3 linked regions of the Coturnix japonica genome follow. The protein of the gene in region 1 purifies or fractionates together with the protein of each later gene. This does not show direct contact. Links are inferred from orthologs where the notes say so. Each region holds a gene or a part of one and is shown on either strand. Other genes may lie near its edges. The genes, in order: PIDD1, RIPK1 and CRADD.

Region 1 (4,290 bases):
ATGGAGTACCTGGGGAAAGGACCCAGTCAGCCCTGTGACCACAGGTGAAGGTAACTCAGCTGTGGGACTAAAAGGGGTGAAGCCTGGCTGCACCTCTCTTAGATCTCATTTAGGGCTGACTGCCACTCTGAAGCGATTTCTGATTGGAGATCTTTCCCTTATGGATTTTTCCCTACAAGCCCAGATCTTCAGAGAGGGGTGAGCACTTTTCCTTTGTAATGCCTTTCTATCACACTAGTCCCTTTGTTATTACATCTCCTGTATCACCATTCCACTGTGTTGATCTTTCTGATTATTACGCTCCATAACACAGAGCCTGATTTAAAGCTGTTTTGCTTCCTCTTAAGCCCCAGCTCTTCTGTTCCCAGTCCTGGATGCTCCCAAAAATCAGCCAGGCTAAACTCAACTATTTTAGGTTGCAGGAAAATCTTAGGAGCTTTTTGATTGACAGAAGCATGACCTACTAATGCCCACAGGGACTGACTCAACCAAGCATGGTTTTTTTGGACAACCCTCTCGTTTTGGCTTTAATGTAGCAGACACTTTGTCCTAGCAACCCTGGGAACAGAGGCAAAGGGCTCAGGGATCCTGGCCTGTATCAAAAACTGAGCAGACTCTCTTTCTTATCACCTAAGAAAACAGGTACCTAAAGAATCCGGGATTCTTGATAGCTGATTCCCAGAGAGATCCAGTTCTGTGCAGCTGTGCAGATTTCCAACCTCTTCAGGGAGAAGTTCCAATGCATTTTCTGAGAGATCCAGTTCTTCCAGTGCTGTCAGCTCCCCAATGCTCCGAGGTAAGTCCTTCAGCTGATTCTTCATAGCAGAGAAGAAAGTCAGCTTGCTCAGTGAGCCGAAGTTCTCAGGAAGTGCCACCAAGTTGTTGTGGCTCACTGAGAGCATGCGGAGGCTGGTGAGGCAAGGGATGCAGCTGGGCAGGGTGGAGAGGCTATTGAAGCTGAGATCTAAGTGAGTGAGACACCTCAGGGTCCCAAAATCTGGTGGTAAGCTTGTCAGGGAGCCACGCTGACACGAACCAAATTCATCTCTGACAAGGCCACCTAGGTGCAAAAGGAAGTAGGGGAAGAAGTCAATATAGTACGAGGACACCTCACCAGCCTCGTGTAACACTCCTTTCTGAAGCTATAACGTGGAGACTCAGATGATGTTTAACTTCTGATCACAATAAGCTGCACTGACTACAAAGTTTGGTAAGTTTTCTGCACCTTGCCTCCATTTCCTGATCTGTGAAAAGGGTATAATCACAAAGATCTACTGGGAAGATAATAGAGATATTACAGTGAACTCCTAGAACCCTGCTCAACACATGTGGGGGAGAGTTCAGAAAGAACCAGGCCACTCCACACACATACCATCACTCAGTGCAGTGACCCACACTCTTGCAAATCTCTGAACATCCTTCCCAACTCAGACTGGTGAATGGTTGCACCTTGGGAAAAGAAGTCAAGCACACAAAGCAAGCTTACAGAATTCTCCATCTCATCTTTGCCTCCTAGTCTCCTTCCACTGCTCTGCTCATGAAGGTATATAGGAGAGGGCAACTGTTGTTACGCTTCATAATGGCAAAGAATGTAAACAGTCTAAGAGAAACATTGTACCTGGGGCATCACAAAATGTAGTCCAACTATTTTATTGCACTTCAGGGTGTTCAGAGTACATGTGCATCTGGCAAAACAAGTATCATAAAAGGCATTGCCATTAGCCTCACCTTACCGCAGGAGAAAAGATAAATAAAATAACTGTATGAGATTTTATAAGCCATCTGTGGTAGGTGTAGAAATGAACCTCAGTCATGAGAGCTTTCAGCTGGAACCCTGAATTCTTTTCTCTCCCGTGATATTACAATTTTACCTCCCAAAGATCAAATGATTCAATCTAAAACAAAAATGGTGTCATTCATATTGAGAGCCTCCTACAATTCAGAGATAAGGAAATCAAGAGATGTTATAATTCCGACGTGTAACAGTTCTTAGGGAATGCTGAATGACACACACCCTGAGTTGTGCTTTAGATAAAATACCAAACAGCTTCTCCTGGTGTGTGCCCAGACCGTGCTCATTAACACAATGCAAGGATTAGGACTGATTCAGAACAGACCACAGCAAGGGCAGCTCATTACACTAACAGAAATTAAAGAGAAGCTGAGCGTTTATCAAAAATCAAATACTTTTCAATTTCCCTCTCCTTAAACAGCTGTGCAAAAAAAATGCTCTTCTTCTAGAGGATGGATAAAGAAATGCATCAACCTAACCGGGCTCCAAAGACTGGTCCACACGCAGCTGTAGAGGCAAAGGAAAGTTATAAATGTCTAGATGCTGATTCTTGTTGAAATCCGCATGCAGCTCTGAGCGAGACTAAGAGCCGATACCCCAGCACAGGGCAAAAAAGCTCTAAGGAATCTTGTTCTGCAGATGTGGAAAGATGGCTAAACACCAACACGAAGCTAATTGATGGGGTCCAGGAACTCACCTTTGAGCACCAGGGACTTCAGGCGCTTCAGATGCGGAAGGATGCTCAGCGCGGCGTCGAGCAGGTGATTGTTAGTGCTGAGCCGGAGGAGCTCCACCTGCACCACGTCTGCCTGTTGCCTCTCGAACAGCCAGAGCAGCTGCCAGCAGCCATCCGGATAAAGATCCAGAGTCAGCCTGTTGTCTGCCAAGCAGCAGCCAGTGAGTGAAGGAGCCCCCGGAGCCCCCTCCCCATCCTTGTCCCCGAGCTTCAGCAGTTCTGCCATCTTCTGCATCTTGTCCATCGGGGCCAGACATGCTCCGACTTGCTAGGTGGGCAGGCACCGGCAGGCTGCCGGGATGGGGAAGAGGAGAAAGGATGGTTCTGAAAGAGAGCAGATGTGCACAGTGATGGCCTCCTGCCCCAGCACAGGGTGGCTGGTAACTGCTTAAAGCCGCAACAAGAAGGCAGGAGGTGTGTTGTCAAAAGCTTTGTGGGCAGAAGGGACAGAAACACAGGGGCTCTGTAGGGGCTCCTGCTAAAGAACACATCTAAATTTTCCCAGCTGATTTTTTCCAACTCAGGGAATGGAGAAAATATGTGTTGCTCCAGTTATCCATCATAATAAACAGCAATAGGAACTTTAAAACGTATCAATGGAAGTGTCTATGCTTCGTGCAGAATACAAAGTGCCTCAGCGAGGAGGTCTGCATGCAAACAGGGAAAACGGGGCAGGGAATGCAGAGACAGGAGCAGCAGCTCTAAGCCAGTACGGGCTGCCACCAACCCCGTTGTGAAATCGGGTAACAGGGGCTGGAAAGCAGTCAAAGGGCAGTGGAGCAAATGCAGCCGAGCTGGGGAGAGGGTTTATATGGCAGGGTTAATGCACAGGGCACGGGGCTGCTGCCCTCACCAGCCAACAGGGCGCTGAGGTAGTTCTCTCCCCTCTCCCACGTTGCTGTGCCCGTACAGATGCGGCCGTGGACACCGTGCGCTGCTCCCAGCTGCAAAGCCAGCATGGGGAAACCGCTGTGCCCTTGAGGAGAGCAGGGGCAAGCCTTGCTAGGGGGAACAAGCAGCTCGTTGTGGGGTAGAACCCCACAGAAGGACTTTTAGCCGTGCAAAAGGGAACAACCCCTCCACCCTACAGCCCAACGCGCACGCGTGGCCATTGCATGCGGTCGCAAGCATCCGGCAGCTCCCCATTAGCCGGCCACCTTCCCCAATAGCAGCCGGCGTTGCTGAGAGGTGACGGGAAGAAGGCGTTGCCGTAGCTCCGCCCTTTCCTTTTGGCTGCCGGGCTGCCGTAGTGACCACACGTCCCGGGCCCGTCTCGCCCCATCGCCTCGCCAAGTGAGCGCGGGGCGGCTCCGTGCCCCGTACCCACAGCCCTTGTGCCGCTATGGGCGCTGCTGGCCCGGCCGCGGCACTCAGCGGGGCTTGGGCGGGACCGCTCCGGGCTGGGAGGGTGGGTGGGGGGGAATGGCGGCCATGTGCTCCGCAGGCCTGGGCCGCTGAGGGCGGACGGGACGGGACGGGATGGGATGGGATGGAGCGATGAACGGATCGGGGGCGTCGGGCCGTGCCGGGTGTTGGGTGTTGGGCCGGCGGGTGCTGCTGGGCACTGCGGGGTCAGCGGCCTCAATGCTGGGCCTGCAATGGCGGGAGGTGGGAATGCGGCCTGTCCCGCCACGGCCTTTATGTAATAAACACAGCGAGGGGAAAAGCAAACAAGGATTATTAAACTAGATCTGTGGCATTAAACACTTCGGCTTTGTTTTCCAGGATGCGTTACGTTGCAGCGTACCTCCTCGCTGTCCTC
Region 2 (3,246 bases), on another chromosome or scaffold:
AGTCCAACCCCCCTGCCAAAGCAGGCTCCCCAAACCACGTCACACAGGTAGGCGTCCAGGCGGGTCTTGAATATGTCCAGAGAAGGAGACTCCACCACCCCCCTGGGCAGCCTGATGATGAAGATGCTGAAGCTTTTTTCCTCACTGATCGTAATGCAATGCATAAACTGTTGGCTACCAAGACAAACAAAGGCTACAGCATTTACCTCTGGTTATTGGAGTTGCAGGAGGATAATATGTGAAAGTTCCCCTTGTGAAAGAGGCAGAAACCTTGATACCTAAAGAGAGAGGAAATGCCAGAAGTGTTATGGAAATTAAAAAAAACAAATCTACAAGTACTGCTGTTATTTGTACAGTGTGCATAGCGCTCTTAAATACAAAAAGACAGAAAGTTTTTTAACAAACAGGACTTTATCTCCTTTAATAACTCTGAAGCAGTTACCCTTATTGTGGTTTTGCTTATGGACTGATAGCCTTTGTGATCCTTGGATCCCAGTGAGAACAACAGGATTCCACATGGGTGTATGAACACCTGCCTGGCAGAAAGCAGCACAGGATCACAGCGTAGACACAGGTATTACTGCCTCCAAACCAAGAAGGCTGCCGAGCACATTGCTATTTACTGCTGAGACTGATCATGGTTTGTTAGCATGTTAGTTGTGACCAGCTGTAGCTGGGGATGCCACCGTATCTTCTGTTGGTAGCAATAATGTCCTGCAGAGATGTAACTTCCTGTCTGATGTAGTAATGGATTTGGATGCGCTCAGATGAGCTCTGACAGTTTGTGACTGGGCAGTAAGAGTGACTGGGTTATGGTCACCAAATAAGACAATAGAAGAACTGCAGTGCAGGTCTTCTGCATCTGCCTGATGCCTGCCATGATATTGTATGTTGCCTCCCTACAATGATTGCTTCCACTTGTTACTGACACTCACTGTTCTCTTCGTTTTCTCCATAGCTTTCTATTCCACAGTTCACTAGCAAACTGTAAGGGCATCTCTGTGTTAGCACTGAGCAGTGTTCTCTGGAGAAACCAGTTAAGAGCTTTAGTTCCTTGTTAGCTCCCTGAACTCTTAACTTGCTGCAAATCAAGCTTAAATATCTCTTTTCTGAAATGCTACATGCACATACATGAGAAAAGTTCCATTTTTGCGCACACAGCCTGTGGTGTGAATGTTACATTCTGTGAGTCAAAAATACTCCTTAGTTTTCCAAGTGTGATTAGTAAGAGCTCTTGGTTTTGTTAGCTGCTGCAGTATTATCCACTGTCTGCTATTATTAAGGCTGCTTTGTCTTTAGAGGAAAAAACACATTTTCAGAAACACAAGAGTTAAGAGGAGGAAGAATCTCACCTGTATCCACATCTGCATTCTTTTGTTGCTGGTTTACGCTGTTCTGTGCCCCCAGGTTTGGGCGAGATTCCGGCACAGGAGTTTTGCTTAGGCTAAAGGCACTTGTTGAACATGGATCATAGCGATCTTCAGTGTTTCCTGTTAGGAGACTGTTAACGTTTGGCCCATAAAAATTTTCTAAATTTCCCTGAGTTGGTATTGCAGCTTGTTTTGGCCAAAACCAAGGGTTAGTGTTTGATCCTATATTTTCAGCTTTGTAATACAGTTCACCCCATTGAGGAACAGAAGGCAGCTTTGCAAATGGATCATTGGAAACTTTAGGTCTCGTTTCTCTCTCTCTCATTTCAGGGCTGTATGGTGGAGCTACTGATTTATCCATCCGGCTGCCGTATGCATGGTAGTCGTATTCACGTTCAAGTTTTCTTTCAAGATTGTCAGGGGATGTAAACGAAGTCTCACAGCTCTCAACAGGCTGGTTCTCAGGGTAGGCAGCAAACAAGGCTTCATTAATCTGACCCTGAGAGCTGTGTAGAGAATTAGGTTGATCTGAAAGGGAAAAAAATGAAGTATTTAAAACAGATTCTATTGCAAGTATATAACTAGTGGTGACATTAGATTCTATTAATTTATTTTTAATACTATGGTAAATTATAAAAGATGAAACTGTAGCATCACTTCCAGCATAAGCTGTTTTATGTAATACTTCCCTTTCTGGGAAGTGTCACTGAATTATGCTTAGGAAAGCAGTGTCTGAATTCACTGTGTATTCTGCATATATCGACACCAGGTTCTTAGTCACTGAAACAACAGGTTCCCAGCAGCACTCATAGGGTCTAATTTACTACCAAGTCTTGACTTCATTAACTGGTATTTAACCAGTGTAAGACCAGAGTATAACAAGATGGAAGATAGAACTCACTGTAATTGGCGTTACTTAATGCAACACAAATAATTTGTCACTGAAGTCATATCTGCAAAAGATTATGTAGAAATCCTATCTGGAGATGTCACCAAAAAAAAGCACAAAAGCATCTGTAATCTGTAGTCTTACATTATTATTTTTGCTAGGGAAATGTACCTACGCTACTTTAAAAGTACAGCAATTGGCCTGCCTTACTAGGTCCAATAGTTCTACTTCTGTTATGGCAAACATAGCTTTGGTGAAGGTTTATCGGTTGCCTGTTATAGTTCCAAGTTACTTGCTTAATAAAATCTTTACAGTGGTGTGGGCAAAGTTAGTAGGATTTGACTTCTACTGGATTTTAGAAGTACTGAATGACTGAGTCTCTCCATAGCTACAAAAGGGGCAACTTTATCTTTAGCAGAGTACATGCCAGGATGATGTGCTAGTTATGCAACTTGGAACACCCACCTATTTGGCCATTGCTGGTATCTACTACAGCATCTATTTGAAGGGATTTCATCCTCTGCAGCAGTTCTTCTGACTTGGGCCACATTTCCTACATGTAAGAAAAGAGCATATGGTCAAGTTATAGGTAAAAGCTTAACGAGAGGAAGCACCTATAGAATAGAAAACACATCCTTATACTGAAGTCACCTGGGTGAACAGATTCCATCAATCTTACAGAGGACAGAGCCTTGCAGAAAATAGCCGCTGCTTTGCTACAGATGGGCAAAATCTTATCTTCAGTGAAAGGAGGAAGAACTGTAATGCAACTGTAGTAATTCTGAGCTGGCCAGAGAACACCATTTACCTAAATGAGTATAAGTTTAATTGGCACATAGGGATACATTTCATAATTAATGTCTCTCCTAAGGTCTTAGCAAAGAAGCTGATAACTGTGAGCTAGATAAGTGCACAGTGACTTGAAAACTAGTTGAATAACTGGATCCAGAGGGTAGTGTTCAGTAATTTGAAGTCTAGTTTGAGGCT
Region 3 (4,221 bases), on another chromosome or scaffold:
CCCTGGCCTTACCTGCAGGATCTTGTACCGTCATTTCCTTACGCTTCACCTTCAACTTGTCTTTAACCCATGGGAACTCCTGTAAGGAATCCAGGAATGCATCAAAAGCCTTGGGTCCTCTAGTAGGAAGAATATCAAGGAGCATCATGGTTTTCCTTTGGCTGGTGGTTTGGGATTTTATTTCTTGAACATGACTGTCGGTGAGAATGCCTTCTTGATAGAGATACTGAATAACTAGTCCATCCACCAGCACCTCCGTGCAGAGCTCCAGGCGCAGGGAGCGCAAAAGTTGCTTGTCTCTGGCATCCATTTGGCAACCTAGAACATAAGGAGTGGGGAGATGCAAGATTAAAATTCCAACCATGAACGCCCTCAAGTGATGTTTGATGCCCAACATTCTTTAGACAGAATTCTCAACATCATCAGCCTGGGAAAACTACTATCTCCACCACCTCATTTCTGCTCGAATCATAAAGTCTTACAAGCTAAAACACAACCATTTCTGGGAAATATTAGACAGGAAAAGAGTTTTTGACATTGTGAAGACCAGTGCTTAGAAGGAATGACAACCGTGCCAAAGTACCTGGCTCACTAACTGGCCAAGGTCCACCCCCAAAGCAGCTGGAGCATTTGCCAGTCCATGAGAGACTCTACCCCAGAAAGTTGCCCAGTGTCACACCTAACCTCTGGTCTCAACATCTAAGACATGAGGGCTGCTGCACTGCTGCCAGCCAGCAAGTGGCTCTGGCAACCCAACACATCCTAATTTCAGCAGGGGTGGAATGTCCTGCATGCACCAGGTCGTTCTCTCCCCCAGCCCATCCTGGACGGCTCTTTTAGGACTCGACTGACCTGGTGATGAGAAATTTTCCTCAAATTTCCATCTTAAATTTATTCACCTTCTATTTATAGGCATTTTTTTTCTGCCAATATCATTCTTTAGCCTAGACATTTTCTCTCCCTCCTTGGTATTCACCGCTCTAATGTGTTTATAGGAAGCAATCGGGTGCTGCCTGCCAGCTTCCATTTCACTCAACTAATGCTCCAACTAGACAAAAGCTGGAAAAGATGCATTTTATAGCCATTCTGAGAAAGAGGAATCGAGGTCCAGAGAGACCAGGCGACTCATCCAAGATCAAATCAAGTGTAAGTGCCAAAGCTAGGAACTAAATCAAGATGTCTAGTCTAGTCCCTAATGACAAACATATCCCCAGGACCATTAATGGCACTTGCAAAGGAAAATGACTTAGTAATACAATTAAATACTTTCTTGTGATTAAATCGTGAAGCCAAAAAAACTGTAGCAGGTGTTGAATGTGATTACCAGGAGAATTTCTAGTAATTAAATTAGAAGTTGCTGTTATAACAGCTTGACTGTACAGGAATTATATTTCATTTTGCTCGAAGATTCAGAGAGAGACCAAGATTTTTACAAGCTCCGTTCAAGTTTTTCTACTGTCAGAGATGCCTGTTAACTCTCCATTAAAGACATGCCCATGTGGCCTGATTGTTGACATTTAGGGCAGGTAATCAACAGAACAGACAAGCACACAAATGGTGTTCCAGACAGAATACAAAAGCCAAAAGGGAGGGACTGGAAAACCCTGTCTGTGACACCCTCTAACATAGCAGCTTTCTGAAAACACTTCTCCCTGAGTGCTGAATGCAGCACTGGATGGCACCTGCTCAGGTTACCCTGATGCTTGAGGTGCTCACCTTCTGCCTTGGGCCATCTTGGAGCTGAGCAGCAGCTCTACTGGCACTCGTTCTTTGCAAGGCCTGGTTGATGGGTTTAGCCTAAACACCAAACCCCATCATGGAGAGTGGTGATGGTGAGAGCCAGGAGGCGGACAGTGGCTGGTGTCAGGATGCTCATTAGGGATGGGTGAAACTCAACATCCTGGTTTCTGGCCACTCGCCACCAAGGTCAGCAGCCCAACAACTGCCAGGATGGTGCTTATTGATATTTAGGGTCTTTTTAAAGCTTAAAGTGCTTCTTTAAGGGTGGTTACCACGTCTGATTCAGGAACCGGGCATACACACATGGAGGCGTTATCAGAGTTTTGATGCAGGCAAGCACAGGGCCAGAGTTTAATGCAACAGGGAAACACCTTCAATTAATTCTAATTAGTCTGTATCTAGAGGTCTGTGGTGAGCTCGAAAGTAAACTTTGCTCATAACACTGCTGCTAAAGGGAAAGGAACGGATGTAAGTCCAGTTTAGCTGCAGGATGGCACAGCACAGCCACCCCAGACACTCCTAAACGTACATCTTTCCACTGCAGACTTCAGGAATCGCACTTCCACATCCCACGGCCCCTGACTCATCCCCACACCTGCAGGCACATGTTGGGGCTTTCCTGACCCGTCCACGAAGGCAGACGAACCTCCCGTTCCCAAAGCTCACCCTCCCCGTTCCCCTCCCGCCGTAGGTCGGCGTTTCCCAGCACCAAACGCCCCGCTCGCCCTCAGGCAGCTCGTCCCCACCCCGCCCCCGGCCCCGTCGTTCCCCGGCCCTACGCACTCGGGTTTCGCAGGCGGCGGAGCGCCGAGCCCAACGTGCAGCGCGGCCCCGTCCTGCCCCGCTCCGTTCCGGGGGCGGCGTCGCTGCAGCCCGTACCGCAGGCCCCGGCCCGCCCCGCTGAAGCCCGGCCCCGGCTCCGCAGCGCGGGGGGCCGCGGCCCGAACGCCCCGCGGCGCCGCCCGGCAGCCGGCTCGGCCGCTCTTCCGCCCCGGAGCCGGAGGAGCGCGGGCCCCGGAGCGGACCGGGAGCGGACGGCGCGGGGCGGGGGAGCCCTCCGCCCGCTCCCCGTACTTACGGAGCAGAACGGGGCACTACACGCGGCGCCCCGGCGGCCGCGGAGCCGGTGCGGGGAGCACCATCTTTGTTGAGGGCTCCGCCGGAAGGACCGGGGGAGCGCCGCCACCGGCCCCGCTGACGGCGAGGGCGGGGGGTGCCGCCATGTCACTTGTGGGCAGCCGGGGCGGCGGGAGCGGGGCGGGGGAAACGCTGCCGGGGGAAGGAGAGCCGCGGGATGGGGCCGGGAGCGGCGGGGCCGGCTCCGTTCGGACGCTCCGCTGCCCTCCGAGTGTTCGCCCACGGCAGCCCAACACCCCCCCGCTCTCGGATGGTCCGCGGAACCCGCGCACCGCTGGGAGAGAAGGGGGGGTCGCAATGCTTTGGGTCACTCGGCACACGCGGGTCGGTGTGCGATAGCGGGCGGATAATGAATTTGATGCTAGGGGTTGAAATTGCTTTTACTGGTAAAAAAATTATTTTAGGTGATGCTGCGTTCCGGTATGTGCGTTAAGCCGCGGTAATGCTTTGTCTCGGGCACACCTCAGCCTTCTAGGAACAGGGGCAGGACAGCCTGCATGCGGGTGAGCTTAGCTGCAAACCACGCGGGGAGGCACCGCCAGCCGCTGAGTGACGAGGAGCTGGCTGCCTGTATCCGCAGCACGGCTGTCACGGCTCGGTATATATCTTATATGATCTTATATATATGTATATATATAAAGATCATCCCTCGTGCACAGCCGTGTGACTGCTGAAAGTTTCCTTCCTTAACTTCCTGTACCTCTGCTTGCCAATGTTTGCTTTGCTTTGTTTTTCAGCGCTGGTCACCATGGAAGGAACTGTATTGTGTTTAGAACCGGAGGGACCGAACCTGGGGACTTTCGGTACCACCCCACTGCCGTCCTGGCGGCTGCTTTCAGTGCAGACAATGAACCCACGTCTTAGCCCAGAGAAGGGACAGGAGCGGCTCGGTTCATTAGATAGCTTGCATTCTTTCTGCCAGTTGAGGCAATTGTGATTATTTATTTTATACTGTCCAAGAATATCTTAGAAAGTTAGCAAAACATATGGATGTGCGCAGAGCGGCTCCGGTTCCCTCTCTAATAAATAGCAGCAGCCTCGTTGCCTTTAGCACAGCCAGCGCCGGTCACGTCGCTGCTTACAGCCTAAACACGCAGAGAAGGAGAGCGGTGGGAGGAAGGAGATAAGCCTGGGAAGGAAGAGGGCAACGGCAGAGGTCCAGGTTTGATTAAAGGGAAAATCTGGTGTTTCCTTTTCTTTCCACTAAGTTTGTAAGCGGTGTCTGAAATTCACCGGTGGGAGCTGAACGCGCTATGAGTTGTTTGGGTCTCATCAGCAGGGACACAAATGTGAGCGGTGACTGCGTTCAGTGCTCACCCTGCTGCCACAGAACAGCACAGGGAG

What was found.
Region 2: the proteins of PIDD1 (region 1) and RIPK1 purify together in Homo sapiens (affinity purification with western blotting; 3 studies listed by BioGRID and IntAct, with this or other methods). This does not show direct contact. The link is inferred for Coturnix japonica from reciprocal best matches to the Homo sapiens genes PIDD1 and RIPK1.
Region 3: the proteins of PIDD1 (region 1) and CRADD purify together in Homo sapiens (affinity purification with western blotting; 8 studies listed by BioGRID and IntAct, with this or other methods). This does not show direct contact. The link is inferred for Coturnix japonica from reciprocal best matches to the Homo sapiens genes PIDD1 and CRADD.

The regions. Positions count from the first base shown.
Region 1 is NC_029520.1:8,843,276-8,847,565, forward strand, and holds the start of PIDD1 (p53-induced death domain-containing protein 1), read right to left. Parts: upstream 2,801-4,290; 5' UTR 2,773-2,800; coding exon 2,490-2,772; exon of another isoform or gene 2,214-2,489; intron 1,061-2,213; coding exon 647-1,060; exon of another isoform or gene 636-646; intron 1-635. Other genes in the region: RPLP2 (60S acidic ribosomal protein P2), read left to right, coding at 4,255-4,290. UniProt on the Homo sapiens protein: Component of the DNA damage/stress response pathway that functions downstream of p53/TP53 and can either promote cell survival or apoptosis.
Region 2 is NC_029517.1:63,195,142-63,198,387, reverse strand, and holds part of RIPK1 (receptor-interacting serine/threonine-protein kinase 1), read right to left. Parts: intron 2,813-3,246; coding exon 2,725-2,812; intron 1,899-2,724; coding exon 1,353-1,898; intron 279-1,352; coding exon 207-278; intron 1-206. UniProt on the Homo sapiens protein: Serine-threonine kinase which is a key regulator of TNF-mediated apoptosis, necroptosis and inflammatory pathways.
Region 3 is NC_029516.1:40,902,386-40,906,606, reverse strand, and holds the start of CRADD (death domain-containing protein CRADD), read right to left. Parts: upstream 2,985-4,221; 5' UTR 2,819-2,984; intron 2,652-2,818; exon of another isoform or gene 2,524-2,651; intron 319-2,523; 5' UTR 311-318; coding exon 13-310; intron 1-12. UniProt on the Homo sapiens protein: Adapter protein that associates with PIDD1 and the caspase CASP2 to form the PIDDosome, a complex that activates CASP2 and triggers apoptosis.